Struthio camelus: one gene and its partner. The protein of the gene in region 2 purifies or fractionates together with the protein of the main gene of each other region. This does not show direct contact. Links are inferred from orthologs where the notes say so. Each region holds a gene or a part of one and is shown on either strand. Other genes may lie near its edges.

What was found. The genes of interacting proteins can lie anywhere in the genome.
Region 1: the proteins of CUL5 (region 2) and RAB40C purify together in Homo sapiens (affinity purification with mass spectrometry; 5 studies listed by BioGRID and IntAct, counting the BioPlex papers as one, with this or other methods). This does not show direct contact. The link is inferred for Struthio camelus from reciprocal best matches to the Homo sapiens genes CUL5 and RAB40C.

What each region holds. Positions count from the first base shown.
Region 1 is NC_090956.1:21,175,869-21,182,951, reverse strand, and holds the start of RAB40C (ras-related protein Rab-40C), read left to right. Parts: upstream 1-3,868; 5' UTR 3,869-4,087; intron 4,088-4,393; exon of another isoform or gene 4,394-4,459; intron 4,460-4,580; 5' UTR 4,581-4,802; coding exon 4,803-4,956; intron 4,957-7,083. UniProt on the Homo sapiens protein: RAB40C small GTPase acts as substrate-recognition component of the ECS(RAB40C) E3 ubiquitin ligase complex which mediates the ubiquitination and subsequent proteasomal degradation of target proteins.
Region 2 is NC_090942.1:205,700,946-205,708,517, forward strand, and holds the start of CUL5 (cullin-5), read right to left. Parts: upstream 3,027-7,572; 5' UTR 2,927-3,026; coding exon 2,903-2,926; intron 1-2,902. UniProt on the Homo sapiens protein: Core component of multiple cullin-5-RING E3 ubiquitin-protein ligase complexes (ECS complexes, also named CRL5 complexes), which mediate the ubiquitination and subsequent proteasomal degradation of target proteins.

The sequences.
Region 1 (7,083 bases), on a different chromosome or scaffold from region 2:
TGCTGCCAGCAGCTTTGTGAGTGCTCTCAGTCTCTCCAAGCATCCAGACACAGCAACTGTCTCCCATCACCGCCAGTGTCAGGAGAGCTTGCAGGGACCTGTTGCCCCATTGTGGGCACAGGACCACCTTTTACCCTTCTGGAAGGACCTCCTCTGCCCAGGTCCTACCATTTCCCAGGTCCAGTGAAAGAGCCTAACACTGGAGGGTCATCTAATTCATAGTAAAGGACCACACTATCTGTCATGTGCTGAGGAAAAAACCAAGCCCTGCTTCAACAGTGTGCTGAGTTGCAGGCCACCTTTAAAGTCCCTCCTGCTGGTGTCTGATAAAATATAATCTCTCCTTGTCTCCATATTTCTAAAGATACTCTCACAGCCTAGCCAGGCTGGCAGGGAGGTGCTGCAGCCCCAGGTGGAGGGCATGCAATGGAGACAGGCAGCTGTGAGGAGTCAGACACAGGCTTTGCTGCACCAGCCTGGCTATATCTAGTAGAGCTGGCTTGCGGCAAGTGGATTGTTCTGGTGTTTAGGTTCAGGTGATTTTTTTCCTCCTCTCTCCATCCCTCTCAGATAATTCCAGGAAGCCACAGCAATGCAGGCAGCCCCAGGAAGCCAGCAGCTTCTGCCCAGCCCGCTCACTGCAAGCATCCCTGGGCCAGTTGGGCTTGCGCTAACAGGGGCACCAGGCTGTTCTGGACCTTGCCCCATGTCTGCCACAGTCCCCTTTTCCCTGTTGCCGAATCCTCCTACACAGAGGCAGCAGTCAAACTGCCATTCCTCCATGGCCATCCAGCCCTCCATCCCCAGCCTCCCAACCATCCCATCTTCCTCCCCCTCTCCCCACCCCAACCATCCAAGGGGATTTCAGAGATCAATGTGAGCATGCCTCAGAAAATAAGCAGTGGCACTCACAGGGTTAGCAGGATGTGGGAATGAGAGCTGATGCTCTGAAGACTAATAAAAGTTGAGTTCATGCCTTACCCTTAACAGAGGTACAGATGTGCTCTATCCCCTCCTTCGAATTATGGATTTTCTTGAAAAAGGTAGGAATGTCCCCTCTTACAGCATCTTTGCTGTCACATTTGGTTAGAAAAGAGCCATGGAGGTAAAAGAGATTTGGGGGAAAAGGGGAGTCAGAGGGGCTAATGTTGACTGGGTGCTGTTGAGCCCTGCTCTGGACTGTGGGCAGCCAGACCCCACTGATATGCACAGGTGTGTGCATGTGTGCATCGGGAAGAAACCTCTCAGACTCTGTAACCCTGCAGCGGCACCAGGAATCTGCAACCCATAGCCAGGATATGTTATCAGCCAAATGCAGTCCTGGCCTTACTGCAACATCTCAACCTACCCTCTGCTCCTGGAAATCTATAGGCTTGACCCCAAATGTTAATTTGATTTAATACAGCAATGTTTTCTGGAGATCTCCAGCACTCAAAATCACTGGAAACGCCCCAAAGGAGGAGGCGGTTTTAATGCAGTAGTGTTTTCTGGAGATCTCCAGCACTCAAAATCACTGGAAACTCCCCAAAGGAGGAGGTGGATGTGTGGGTTGCAGGGCTGGAGCGGAAGGAGCCAGCAGCCTCCTTGGAATACAGATGAGTTTCCCTGGTGCTTGCCGAGTTCAAGGCCCACTCAATCCCTGAGGAGTAAGGAAATTGGGGGTGGGTTAGAGTGTCATTTTAAATGGGACTAATTGTTACATGCAGCAAGGCAGCCAGGCTGGGAACCTAATTAGTGGGCTGGCTGGCTCTAAAAAGATTAGCCAATATCCATTGTTTAACACACAGCTACCTCAGTGAGCCTTGCAAGAGAGAGGATCCTCACTCAGCCAGACCCCAGGATCTTCCAGAGCCTCCAGCCCTCCTTCCTACCACAGTGGCCCCACACAGCCTGGGCAGGCAATAACACTGTGGCACCCCATCTGTGCCCCACTTCTTGGGGGGGGTCAGAGGGCTCTCATAGCCCAGAGTGCTTACAGTATGATAGCCAAGGAGTCCCTGGCCCCCCAGAAGGAGAGGAACAAGCTAGGTACCCACTCCTGCAAGTCTCCTTTGCAAAGCAAGCTGAGCTGAGCAGATGCTGGGGTGCCGCGCTGTCAGGGTGCCCAATGGTCAAGATGTTTGAGTGCAGACACCGGCGCTGCTCTGAGATGGCCACAGCCTGGAGGTACTATCTGGTATTGAAATGCAAATGAGATGAGCCAGGAAAGAAAAGACAGGAAAAGAATGAGGCTTTGAAACAGGGCTGCAGGATGTTCCCATCCCTGCTGGTGGTTAGGAGGACGAATTCACTCCCTCAGATATCTACAGCACAGTTAATGGTGCGGTTTGCCTGGTGACTGCCCAACAGCCTGATGGATGAGCTGCAGGCTGGAGCAGTAAGAACAGCAGTAAGAACGGTGAGACGTGGTTCCCCCCCCAAGTTTAGGGCCTTAAAGCAATTCCTCTTGGAACTGAGCTCATTCTCCAAACATAGGAATCCTTCCTTTCCCTCCAGATCACTGATAGTACGGCCTTAGGGGATCGGAATAGAACAATTTGATTTCCTTTCCAGGCTATTCTCCATCACAATGGACTTTTAATCCCAAGTCTCTCAGGCTGCTCAGCCCACAGGGCAGGCAGGCTGTTTGTCAGGATCAGCCTGCTGACTTAGCCCACCTTTGAAAGCTGGCCTGCAGGGCTAGATCTCTCCTTAAAGCCATTGCAGGCCTGCAGCATCGCCTGACTCAGCCCTGTGCAGCCCTCAGGGCAAGTGAGTGGGATGTGCAGTGGGATGCAAGCCGGCAGTGGGTGCAAGTGGCACAGGCTGGAACGAGTCCAGCGTGTGAAAAGCTGTATCGAGTCCAAAGCTTGTGGCAGCCACTGGGAAGAGTCCCACTGGCTCCGCCAGCCCTGAATCAGGCCCTACATGGTCCTTCCCACCTTGACCTGGCTCCCTCTCCTCAGCGACATATGGCTGAGATGGATCACACTTGCTCTGTGCTAGTTTCTCCTCTCATCTTCGCACTGAGAGCCTGATTCAGTAAAGCACTTAATGATATGCCTGACTTTAAACACATCCTTAAGAGCCCAGGTGAATCAGAGCCCAAGACAAAGAATTAATCTGCTTTCTTCTTTTCCCCTCTGGCCTGGGGAGCCCAGCTGTTAAATTCCTGTGATCTTTCTTCTCTCCCACACTCTGCTCTGGGGCAGACTTCTGTATGACCCTCTCTGCAAAGGCATTTCAACATACCACAGGGAAGCTGCAGCCTGGTGTGCTGATGCACTTCAGGCACCCTCATTGGAGCTGCAGGGGCTGATCCCTGCCGCGGCAGCACGCGGGAGCCTGGCGGTCCCCACCAGCTGGGCTCCCCACCGGCCTGCCCCCCTCCAGCCTACCTCACACCGAGCCTCCCCCCGACCCACACCTGGTCTGCCCCCATGCCTGCCTGCCTGCCTGCCAGCCTCCCCCTGCCCCTGCCCCACACCCGTCCTGCCCCCCGATGGCCACCCCCTGCCACACACCTGGCCTGCCTCCCCCTGCTCCTGCCCTACAGCCGGCCTGCCCCCTGCTAGTCTCCCCTTGCCCCACGTCCGGCCTACCCCCCTGAAGGCCTCCCCCTGCCCTACAGCCGGCCTGCGCCCCCCGCCGCTTCCTCCGCCCACATGTGCCCCGCCCCGCCCCGCAGGGAGCTCCCCGACTCCCAATCCCAGCATGCCCTGCTCGAGCGCGTCCTCAGCGGCGGCGGCCAGGCCTCGCAAGGCACGCCGGAAGCTGTAGTCTGCGCCCTTCAGCACCTCCCACAGACGGTCGGTCGATGCAGCCTGGCAGTCCCGCCCCCTCTTTCGTACGTGGCTTCCGATAGGCCAGAAGAGCGCGGGAGGGGCGAGGAGAAACGTGGGAGTAGGCGTGGTGGGGTGGTGGCAGTGGTGACGGACGTGGCGGCAAGCCTATGGAGACCGGGAGCCGAGCAGGGCGCTCGCTGCGGCCTCACCGTCGGCCGGCCCGGGTGCTGCGCGGCGGCGTCAGGCGGAGCTGGTGGCGCCGGAGGTGCGGCCGTCCTGGCGGCGGAGCTGCCCCGGCCCCGGGGCGCACGCCCGGCCGCGAGGTGAGTGCACCGGCGGCAGCCTGCCACTGCAGGCCTCCCTCGGCCGCGGGAGGGGCAGCGGGCTGGGCCGGGCTCCGTGGAGAGGCGGGGGCGCGCTGGGTCCCGGCCGCCGCTGGCAGGGCTGAAGCTCGGTCGGGGGAGGCGGCGGGCCCAGGCCTGGGGCGGGCAGGGCCGCACCGGGCGGGCAGGCTCGCGGCGCCTGGCGCCCGGGCCCCCGACCGCACTCTGGGGCGCCGCGGCGAGGCCCCGCTCGCGGGCGGCTCCGGCGGGGCGGTGGGCCGCTGCCGCACCGTGTTCTCCGCAGAGCCGGCGGGTGATGGGCTCCGCGCTGGGAGCTGTTGCTCCGACTTCAGTGGCCTTGAGGAGAATCAAGTGCGATTTCTTTGTCAGCAGCTGGGAGGAATGCTTGCTTAATTAATAAGATGCTAATCACGGGTGAAGGAACTAAGATTTTTTTTTTCTTCTTTTTTCTTCTCTCCCCTCCTTCCCCCAGGTGTCTGAGCGTATCTTGGCAGAGAAGATTAGATGCAAGATGGGGAAGATGGAGGGCTCGTTCTGAGATCACCTCCTTCTTCTCTTTCCTTTTCTGCCTCCCTTTGAAAGGGGGAGAGAGATAATCATTCTCATACATTTATCTTTAAAAACTCAGAGGCTGGAACTGGAGCTCCCTTCAATCTGGCTGTGTGTTTAGTATGCGGTTTGTGCCTCTTCACTAATGAGAGGGAGAATGGGAACCCAGGGAAGCCCTGTGAAGAGCTATGATTATCTGCTCAAGTTCTTGTTGGTAGGAGACAGTGATGTTGGTAAAGGAGAAATCCTGGAGAGCCTTCAAGATGGAGCATCAGAATCCCCTTATGCCTACAGCAACGGTAAGGCTTTTGGAAGGGGTGGTGGGCGAAAGCTCTGTCCTGTGACATTACAGGTAGCTTTAGATAAGGTGAATGATCTGTGCTTTCACAGTTCTTACTGAGCTGCAACTCTGAAATCTTGTAATGTATAGAGAAAAGGAACTCTGCATTATATCATTGTTAATAGAAAAATCAATTTTGGGGAGGGAGGGGCTCTTTTTTTTTTTTTTTTAATTGAAAATATAATGCGGTTTATTAGGGTTTGCATTCATGGTAGTCGAAAGGTGCTGACTGTTCCTTAAAATCACAGAGGTCTCCTGGAGATTCTGACTAGAGAGATGCTAAAGAAGTTGGTGTCAGATGTAATCACAAGACATGCAAATCCTTAAGCATAACTGGACCGTTACCAAACATAGCTCTGGTTGTATATCCTACTTAAACAGCCAAATCTATTTTCCATCATCACAGCAGGGGTTAATGCAAGGATTGATTGGTACTAAAAGGAAGTACTATGGGGTCTGCAACAAAAGAACAGTAACGTTATTTCCAGACTAAAGCTATTTATGACTTGGTACTTGGGTGTTGAGAGTACAGATTCATCTGTCTGCCCCCTGCAAACATCAGGGTGTACGATGGAGCCCATGACAGACCATTAACTATAGTGTCACAAGATTATAATTAAGAGCCAAGGAGTGACGCTGTGCTATTTCCTGCATCCCTTCACTGCAGTTAAAACGTAACACTGCCTGGTATGGTACAGGTCCTGGGGTGATTTTCAATCTGTCATAGATTTCACCATCTTCAGTGCAAAACAGTGGCCCCAAGGGTTTGACAGAAACGATCTAATTCAGATCCTGCATCCTCACCAGAACCAACCTGAGGGCTGGAACAGTTAGTATTTAGTTTCATCCGAGATAATCAGGTGCTTCTGGACGCTTTGGGCTGAAGCTGGCTGAATTTAGAGTTTAAAGGAGCAGTGTGGCTCAATTCCTAACTGTATAATAGTCCTCAGAACTAGTATCATCGTTTTAAGAACTGATGCAAGAGCACACCTGATCTGCAGATATTTATGGGGAAGCAGTGACTCAGAAAAGTCAGAATGGTTGTGAAATTGGAGTAGCAAATTCTGGAACTAGAGGATTGTGGTATCATTCATCTGTTTGGATGTCTGGCTGAGCTTCTGTGGTTTACCTTGGAGGAGTTACTTGACACTTCTAAGCTTCCCTGAAGAGACATTTTATCTCTGAAGAACCTGCCTCAGTTGGGAGCTATAGAACTGCTCCTTGGGATAAATATTTACTAAACAGAAATGGATGAAGAATAGAACAGGGATTGTTGTTTTGAGTTGGAATTGTCTTCTAATATAAATGATTTTAACCATTGTTTAGAAACAAGTGGTGGAATAATAGGTATGATTGAAAGGAGCATCTGTGTGTGATGGTACAAAAACAAAAAAAAACCCCAATTTTGTCTATAACTAAAAAAGTTTTGTCCCTGTACCCACTATTTTATAGCAAGACAATACTGCCATCTTTTTCTAGAAAAAAGAAATAACAGTACACTAATGTATTTAAAACCTTCTCCTGTCTTCTGTAGGCAGTGGAACCCATTCTTATGTAGTGAATTTTATACAGTCAGATACTGGGTTTTTTTTGTTTTTTTTTTTTCCTGACAATATATGCTTTAGTAGTCTCTAATTCTGTTGCTTCTGCTAAATTGCATGCTTTTTGGATAATCAGATTGAACAGCTTTGCAGTTTCAGTGAATTTGATACTGCTGATATTCTTGACAGCCTTGGCAATCGAATTTCCTGTGTCTCTGAAATAGCTGGGATATAATACTGACAGTGCAAGTGTCTCTGCCAGCATGCTTTAGCTGTGCCTTGACAAGACCAAGTACCTTCATATCAAGGGACGGACTTTGTGAACATTTAATGCTTGGCCTCCTGGCTGAAGCAGCTGGCTGAGGTACTATAGTTTCTTGTGATGTGAGCACTTGTCAGCTACAAACTGGAGTAAGATTATTAAGGGCTCTGTGTGTACTACCCAAAGAACTGTCCTGCTCTCTAATGGCCTGGCTTTGAACCTGTAATCCAGAGAGGTGAAGGGCTTGATATTCTGTTACAAGGTTCCAAAACCTCTCATTCCC
Region 2 (7,572 bases):
TTGAAGAATTCAAAAATTTCAGACATGCTTCCAGTTGTCAGTGACAAAGGCATGAAATCAAGAAAAATAGTTAAAACAAAGGGAAAGGTAAACTGTGGTTCTCATTTCACTCAAGCCTACAGAAAATCTGCTGCTTGTTTTGTTTCTTCCCTCCTAATACCAGGCTCAATCTCCAGTCCTGTGACTGCAAGGGCCAACTCTTGAATTTGCCAGCACCTCCAGTAAGGCTGCAGAGAAATGCCAGGATGTGCTAGCATACATACAGCTACAAGTTTTCTTCATGCTGCAGTAAACTGAGCTGTTCTGCGCCTCAGGAACCGCAGGAAAACACGTGCATCTTCACGTCACATGAGTGAATTGGTTTAGACTATTTTGTCACTGCAAAATGAACAGGTTACAAGTCCAACACATCCCCTGAAACAAAGTACTCCACTTTAAAAGAGCCAGGACCACAAGTATGTTGAAAGAAAAAGTACTAAGGAACGAATCTAGCAAAGACTCAGCCACAGAGCTGTAGCCACAGCCTACAGAAAAGTCACAGCCTTAACATGGGACAGTAGTCCTGCTATAGGTAGAGTATAAACTAGCTTGCCCATTTAATGGCTAGCTCTTCCTAAGTAGTTTAATATTTTGATCACACTGAAATTTGTTGCATCTCATCAAGAGTCAACATATGATTAGTCATACTAATTTTGCATTTAAAGAAGGAAGTCTAAGAATATGCTTCTCCCTAAAAATCAAGCACATTTTACACTTAAGAAAAACCATGCACTAGTGGAGTTTAAATGATGCCCTCTAAAACAAGGGCAGCCAGTCAGATTTCACTTCAGCCAGTACCCATTACTAGAATAGGAAAGGAATATTCCACTTCATTTTCTCAACTATGTAGAAGGTCGAGAGAGGATGGGGGAAACCCAGAGAAAACTCTTAGTTCCTGTTTATCCTAGCAAAAAATAGAACCTGCCTCAACCTGGCTTACATTAGCATACAGGCTAATTTGGAAAAATACAGACCTCCCTCAAGATTTTAACATCTCTCCTTTCTTACCCCACGGATTTTTACCGACTAGGGGATATTGCTCCCCCCTAGTGCGAGGCACTGGCAACAGCACTGACATTCAATCAATCAACGGTTTGCTTCTCCGGGAGCACACTGAGTGTCAGAACTGTGGAACAAAAACCCTCATCCAGTTCCAACTCTCTCACTGGTTTATTTTGTCATTATAAACAAAGTGAAATCACTGTCTAATTGCTCTCTTTTGTAATGTAGAACTCATACTTTATTATCTTTAGGAAACTTACTAAGTTAGCTCCCAAGTCACCAGAAAGGCCTACTCTAAGTATCTCCCTGTAGCATTTTCCCTGAAACATACTTTTTGTCAACATAAAATATTAATGATTCAAAGGCCAGTGGTGAAGCTGTCACTAGCAAACAAAAGGGCTTCAAGTCATTAGGAACCATCTCACAGAGTCAAGAACTTTGACTGTATTTTCACTTGCTGCACACCTAGTAGTTTTCAGAAGAGGTGAAGCAGAATGCTGATAAATCTCACAGGCCTTCTAGCTGCTGAGGGCTACACAACCACGTTCTCATCAACGCGCCTCTCAGCCTTCCTAGAAACCCTTACACATACTGCAAAGCAATGGACTAAATATCAAGTAGATAAACTGTTTGAACCCTACTCTAAAGCAATACTCTTCCACAAAAAAACCCCAACATTTTGTTCCAGAAACTCTTGTGGGGCATTATGCTTTTTGCCAGAATGTGTGGATTCTTCCAAGTTAGACTTTGATTAACACCTTACATAGTTTAAAAAGCTAACTGCTTATTTTCACAGGAAGAAAAAGAATTAAGAGAAATGAAAAAGAACTAATTTCCGTTACATTTCAATTTCAAGAAAAACTTTTTTTTTTTTAAAGCTCTGTCTTTATGACAGAAAACCTCTCTCTTTGGACACGAGGAAGAAACAAGGCTATCAATTATTTCTCATTTCTGCAAACTGAGTGTCTTAGAGTAATATAACCCACAGTTTCAGGACAAATCCACACACCTGAAATAGGTCAGCTTGCTGAAATGTAAGAAGCACTTTTCCAGAACCATACCTGAATACAACACACGACGCTGAACACAGATATTTATTTTACATATATTTTAACTGCTAGCCGATAAAGTTAAACAAAGCTAGCAATCTTTCACAAGCCTTTCACCACAACTACACTGAGGATCTAGAAACACTTACTGGAGGCATTAGTAACAGCTGCTTTAAGTAGGCCCGTTTTCCACGTGCTGGCACAGCCTCAAAGGCCACATACAGCCTGATCTATACGCACGCCACCAAAATTTGGACAGACAGTCCTGGACGCAAATACTGGGCTGTCACAGCAAAAACTCCCCCTAAAATTTGCAACAGGTTAGGATGATTGACATCTGTCCTCAAACATGGGCAAAGCGCCTGGAAACCCCTCGCTATGCGAGTAAAGCTGCTCGACGCAACTGAAAGGCCTGGGAGAGTTTTTCTCTGCAGAAAAATTGCCGTTAACAAAAGAGGGCCCCCCCAAGTCACAACACCTGCTCCCCGCAGCGGCGTTTTTCAACCCCTGGCTCAACTTAAAATTCGTTTTCTGCACATCCAGGGTTGCAGAAAAATCTAAACAAGAGAGCCAGCACCGCGCCCGGCCTAACAGCACGGCGCAACGTTGTTTCGCAGCGGCGCAGGTTTGGGAAGGGCGGGCGGCCCGCTAGCAGCCCAGAGGCCGCGGGGTGGCCGAGGCGAGCGGCCCGCGCCCGGCCCCGCCGCCCCCCGCTCGCCCCAGCCCCGGCGGCCCGCAGGCCCCGCGGGGCCGCCCCGGGCGCCCGGCCCCCGCCTGCCCCTCCGGCAGCGGCCGGCGCGGCCCGCCCTCACCTTCAGGAGATTAGACGTCGCCATGTTCCCCCCGCGGGGCCCCGCGGCCGCCGCCGCCTCCGGCTCCTCTCCCCACGCTCGGCTCGGCTCCCCCGGGCCGCTGCCGCTTTACATGGCGCCGGGCCGCCCGCCCGCCCGGCCGGACCCGCGGCAGCGGCGCCGCCCGCAGCGCTGCGCTGCGCTGCGCTCCCCGCCCGCCCTCCCGCGGCGAGGCCGGCGCGAGGCTGGGCGCGCTCCGCCGCGCGGCCGGCTCGCTCCCCCGCGCGCAGCCGCCCCTCAGAGCCTCATGGCGGCGTCCGCCCAGCAGACGCTCAGCGGCGGCGACCCCGGCTCCATGGAAGGGGCTGGCCCACATGATGCGCGGCGCCGAGGAGCCGGCCCGCCGCCAAGCGCGGACACCCGGGCCGGCGAGCTCCGGCGACGGCGCCCCCTAGCGTCCCGCCGCGGGGAGGCCGCCCGGCGCGGCCCGGCCCAGGCAGCCCGGCCTTGCCCCACCCCCCGTCCTTCGTGGGGGAACGGGGACCCCCCCGCCCGTCCTTCCTGGGGGAACGGGGACCCCCCCCCTCTCTATGAGGCGGGGTCCCGTCCCTACGTGTAAGCCCCCCTCTAAGCCTGCGCTCCTTTGACCGCCCTGAGTGAAAACGCGAGTTTTCTGTCTAGTAAGAAGTGTTTGGTTTTAGGCACGTTTTGGGCGGGAGATGGGGAAACGTTTTCAGTGAGAGGAAACTGAATTGTACCTTTTTATTAAAACATTTTGCTTTGGTCCGAAGTGTGTCTCCAAGAAAAAAAAAAAAAAAAAAGTCCAGCGAGCTTCTCTTACAGGTTAGGAAACCTGAGCATTAACGTCATCCATTCCGCTTTAATCTGGCCCCTTCTTGGGCACGCTGCGTGCTCGTCTCCGCTAACGACCACGCCGTTTTCCATGGCGCTTCCAATCCGTTCTTTGCGCGGATTTAGAGCGGGCAAGGAATGAGTCATCGCCCTGCGAGAAGGAGGTTTTGTCTGTTCTCCACCTGGTTTGCTAAAGAAGTTGGAAGGGGCGCAGGGGACAAGAGAGGTGGCAAGAGACAGACTTGTCCTGAGATGAAGTCAGCTGGATGCCGCTCCGGGGACCTGGTCTGTCTGGGACTCTGTCAAAGCAAGCCCATCGAAAGCGTTTTTTTCTCAGCCACCAGGAAGAACACGGATCACGGCTGTCCGTCTGGAGGGCCAGTGGTGTGCCTGACAAAACACTAAGTACTCACCACAGCCACTGGGGTTATTGAGAAGAAGGTGCTGAACAAAAGGTGTTTCGGGTATGGCCGGAGACTTCAAGCCCTAAGCCTCTCTCGGAGCTTTTAACAGCTTTGATCTCCTAATGAGTCAACACCTCGTTTGCAAATGGTGACAATAGTGCTCTCTCAGTCTTGTCTGGGGCATAAGATGAAGAGAAGAGAAACTGAGGATTTGAAGAGAAATTCATGTTGTAAAACACAGACATCCTAAACTGTTAGCTCAGTAGAAAAGCTGTCAGACAAAATTCAGAAATTCTGTGCTCCACAGAAGGTTTGATAACGTCGACTAAACAGGGCCTGCAGCCTTATTAATTTAACATGTTTTAAGGCTTAGTAAGGTGTTCTCTTAACTAAGAAGTGTTGAGGAGGTATTGAACAGTTACCCGTTTTTACAAACCTTCCAGGTTTTGAATGCTTCAATTGGACTTTAAAATTTTCCTTTGTTGTTGCATATACATTGCATAGTCTATACTATGTATATATATCATGACCAATTATACAGTATTCACTGTGTATGTAATGCATACAGTTGCACAGTTGTATATATAGTATAGAACTACACAATATAGATTGCATGGTATTATATACCATACTTTCTGTATCTATTTCATAATATGGAGGATTTAAGTCCTTATAGATCAAATTAGAGAAAAGAGAAATGAGTTTTCAAGTCTTCTTCCTGCTAATCGAAGGCTGATGATTTATAGAAGACAATATAACTAGTGATTCAATGTCCTCAGGTTGTAGCTGTGAAGATTTAGTGTTTAAATACAGTGTAAAATAAGCACATAAAGCAATTTTAAAAGTGTACAACCTCTGCTTATGTCCAAATTGGCCCATTTTTTCTAAAGCCTCTAATTTAAAAACAGAAAACGATAGCGACTGATATACATTTACCTTTCCAACATAGCTTTTATTATTCAGTACTCACACAGTGAAACACATGCAAATACATGTAAAAACATTATTTCTCCCACATTGTTAATTTGAGGGGGGAGGTGAGAGAAGAGTTTCTATTCCATCACCACCGTATTTTTAGATGATGTCACATGACTGTCTCAGCTTTGACCTGATGCTTGAGAAGAATGACCATTGCTTCATCCTTTCCAAACGCTCACAATTACTCAGCAAACAGCTTGGATCTCCACGGCTAGCTCTGAGCCTTTAAGTGAAGAACTGACTGTTCCTGGTTGCTGATGAAAACAGAAATCTGTAACATGTATCCACAGAGGAAGAGGTAGTAGGATCAACATACAAACATCTATTCCTATTCTACTCTATTTAATACTCCCACTCTACAAAAAAAAGTGTATTTTCTCTAAAAATTCAGCTCAAATCAGATTAAAAAAGAAGAATCTTCTACATATGAAAGTGGTCTCTTTTTAACAAGCAAAGAAACCTAGGTGAGGATAATATCTAATAACTACGCATAGGTGCCACTGAGCTTATAGCCCATAGGGTTGACAAATGTTCCCTGAAAGCTGGCCTGAACATCTTCCTCAGAAAGGTTTTCACCCAGACAAAGCTGATGCAGCAGATGGTGTGAGACCAAGCTCATAATGAACAAATCTCAGTCCTGCATTAATCAGCGCCTACTTCCCTCATTTTCCTAGTGGATTCAGCTCTTGGGTCACGACTGAGTAACATCATGTTGGATGAAGCCCAAACTGAAGTCAATATCATCTGGAATTCTCTATAATGGGGGCCAGCGTCAGACAGTTGCAGGAAGATGTCATACCTTGTCATTCAGAGATTTGGGACCTACTTAGGTCTCTCTTTGGTCTCTAACATTTATTGCTTAAACCCTGGACGCAAGATACACTATCCTTTACCAAGTAAAATATCAATACATTTGCTAAGAATTCTTTAATCCACCTTTTAATCCATCTCACTGAGGGATCTCTTTGCCGTTTTTGTGCACACCTACCACAGAAATGTAGCGGTACACAGGACACCCCAGGATCTGAGCGCCCACCATGGTCTTGTCTAGTCTAAGTATTCCCAGAAATCCTGTAAGCATTGCTGTAACAGTTACGCGGTTGGCCGGAAACAATCAGCAAGGAAAGTCCTGAGGACAAGCGTTTGTGCCTCCTATTTAAATACGCTCTGATGCCAAAGCTGTGAGTAGTGACAGCGGAGGAATAAAGAGGATTTGAACAGCTGAGAAGCCATGAAACTAGGAAACGGTCGTACATTTTACTGATATTAAAAATAACGTCCATTTCATTTTGCATGGCTTACATAGTAACTGTAAGATTCTTCTAAAAATCTGTACGTTATTTTTCCTGGAAAGTAAAGACATCTTTGAGCCTCAAGGTTTTGTGGTATTTTAGCACCACTTCAGGGCACACGGAAAGTACAAAGAGTTACATAATTTCGTCTAATTTGCTTTAATTCTATTGCAAATGGATTATTATTGAATTCTGACACTAATGAAAATATTAATTAATTAGTATACGGTACTACATTGGACTACAGTTTTATAAGTTTGGCATGGATCATAAAAGACAGAGTGAAAAACACTTAATCCCAGAGTTATTCCTGGATTCACAGTGATTTGCACATGCCATCTCATTAAGCTCTAGACGATCAGTGAAATGAATATTGTGCATATACAAATATATATCCTAGGCATCTTGGAGTGAATTGATTCCAGGGGCAAATATGTTGACTTTGAATGAGTTGCATCAGATATAAATATGCACTGTTACGTTCTCATCTAACACCCCAAGGCACACATATAATGAATAAGATGTGTATAGTTTCTTGTGATTTTTACTTAGTCCGTGATGGAAAAAGACATTTGATGGGTGATTAGTCAATCTTGGACACCTCTCCGATCAAGCTAGATATGTTCAGTGGGATACTAAGCCTTTACATTCTTTTCTTCAGTGGGAAAGCCTGGTTTATCACTGCACTGCTTAGTCACCACCCTCTGCATGAACGATGCCATGAAAGTCTCCAAAGATTATCCTTTTAACAAGGCAAGGAGGCACAAATGCTTATCTGGCTGACAAAAGACACGCCACCAATGACCAGACTTTTCACGTGAAACTTCTTCCGAATGTTTGTTTCTATTTGAACAAGAAAGCAAACAATTTTATTTCTGGTGCGCCTGAGCTTCGTGTCACCCTTCCAGTTAATAACAATAGCATTTTGGAAAAGATGTCTGTGTGGGGGAGCAGAGATTATTGTTGCTTCCACTTACAACTGTTGAAGATTTTGGTGTCTTTGTATCGCCAGAGCCACCTATCCTGTGCATCTCAGGGTGACCTGTTTGTTCTTATGCCAACATTGTCCTTTAGTTTAAATAACTCTTCTCTCTCCCTGACGTTTACTCTTCTCTGATATATTTTTAGACAACAATGCTATTGCCTCGCGATTCAGCTTGGTGGA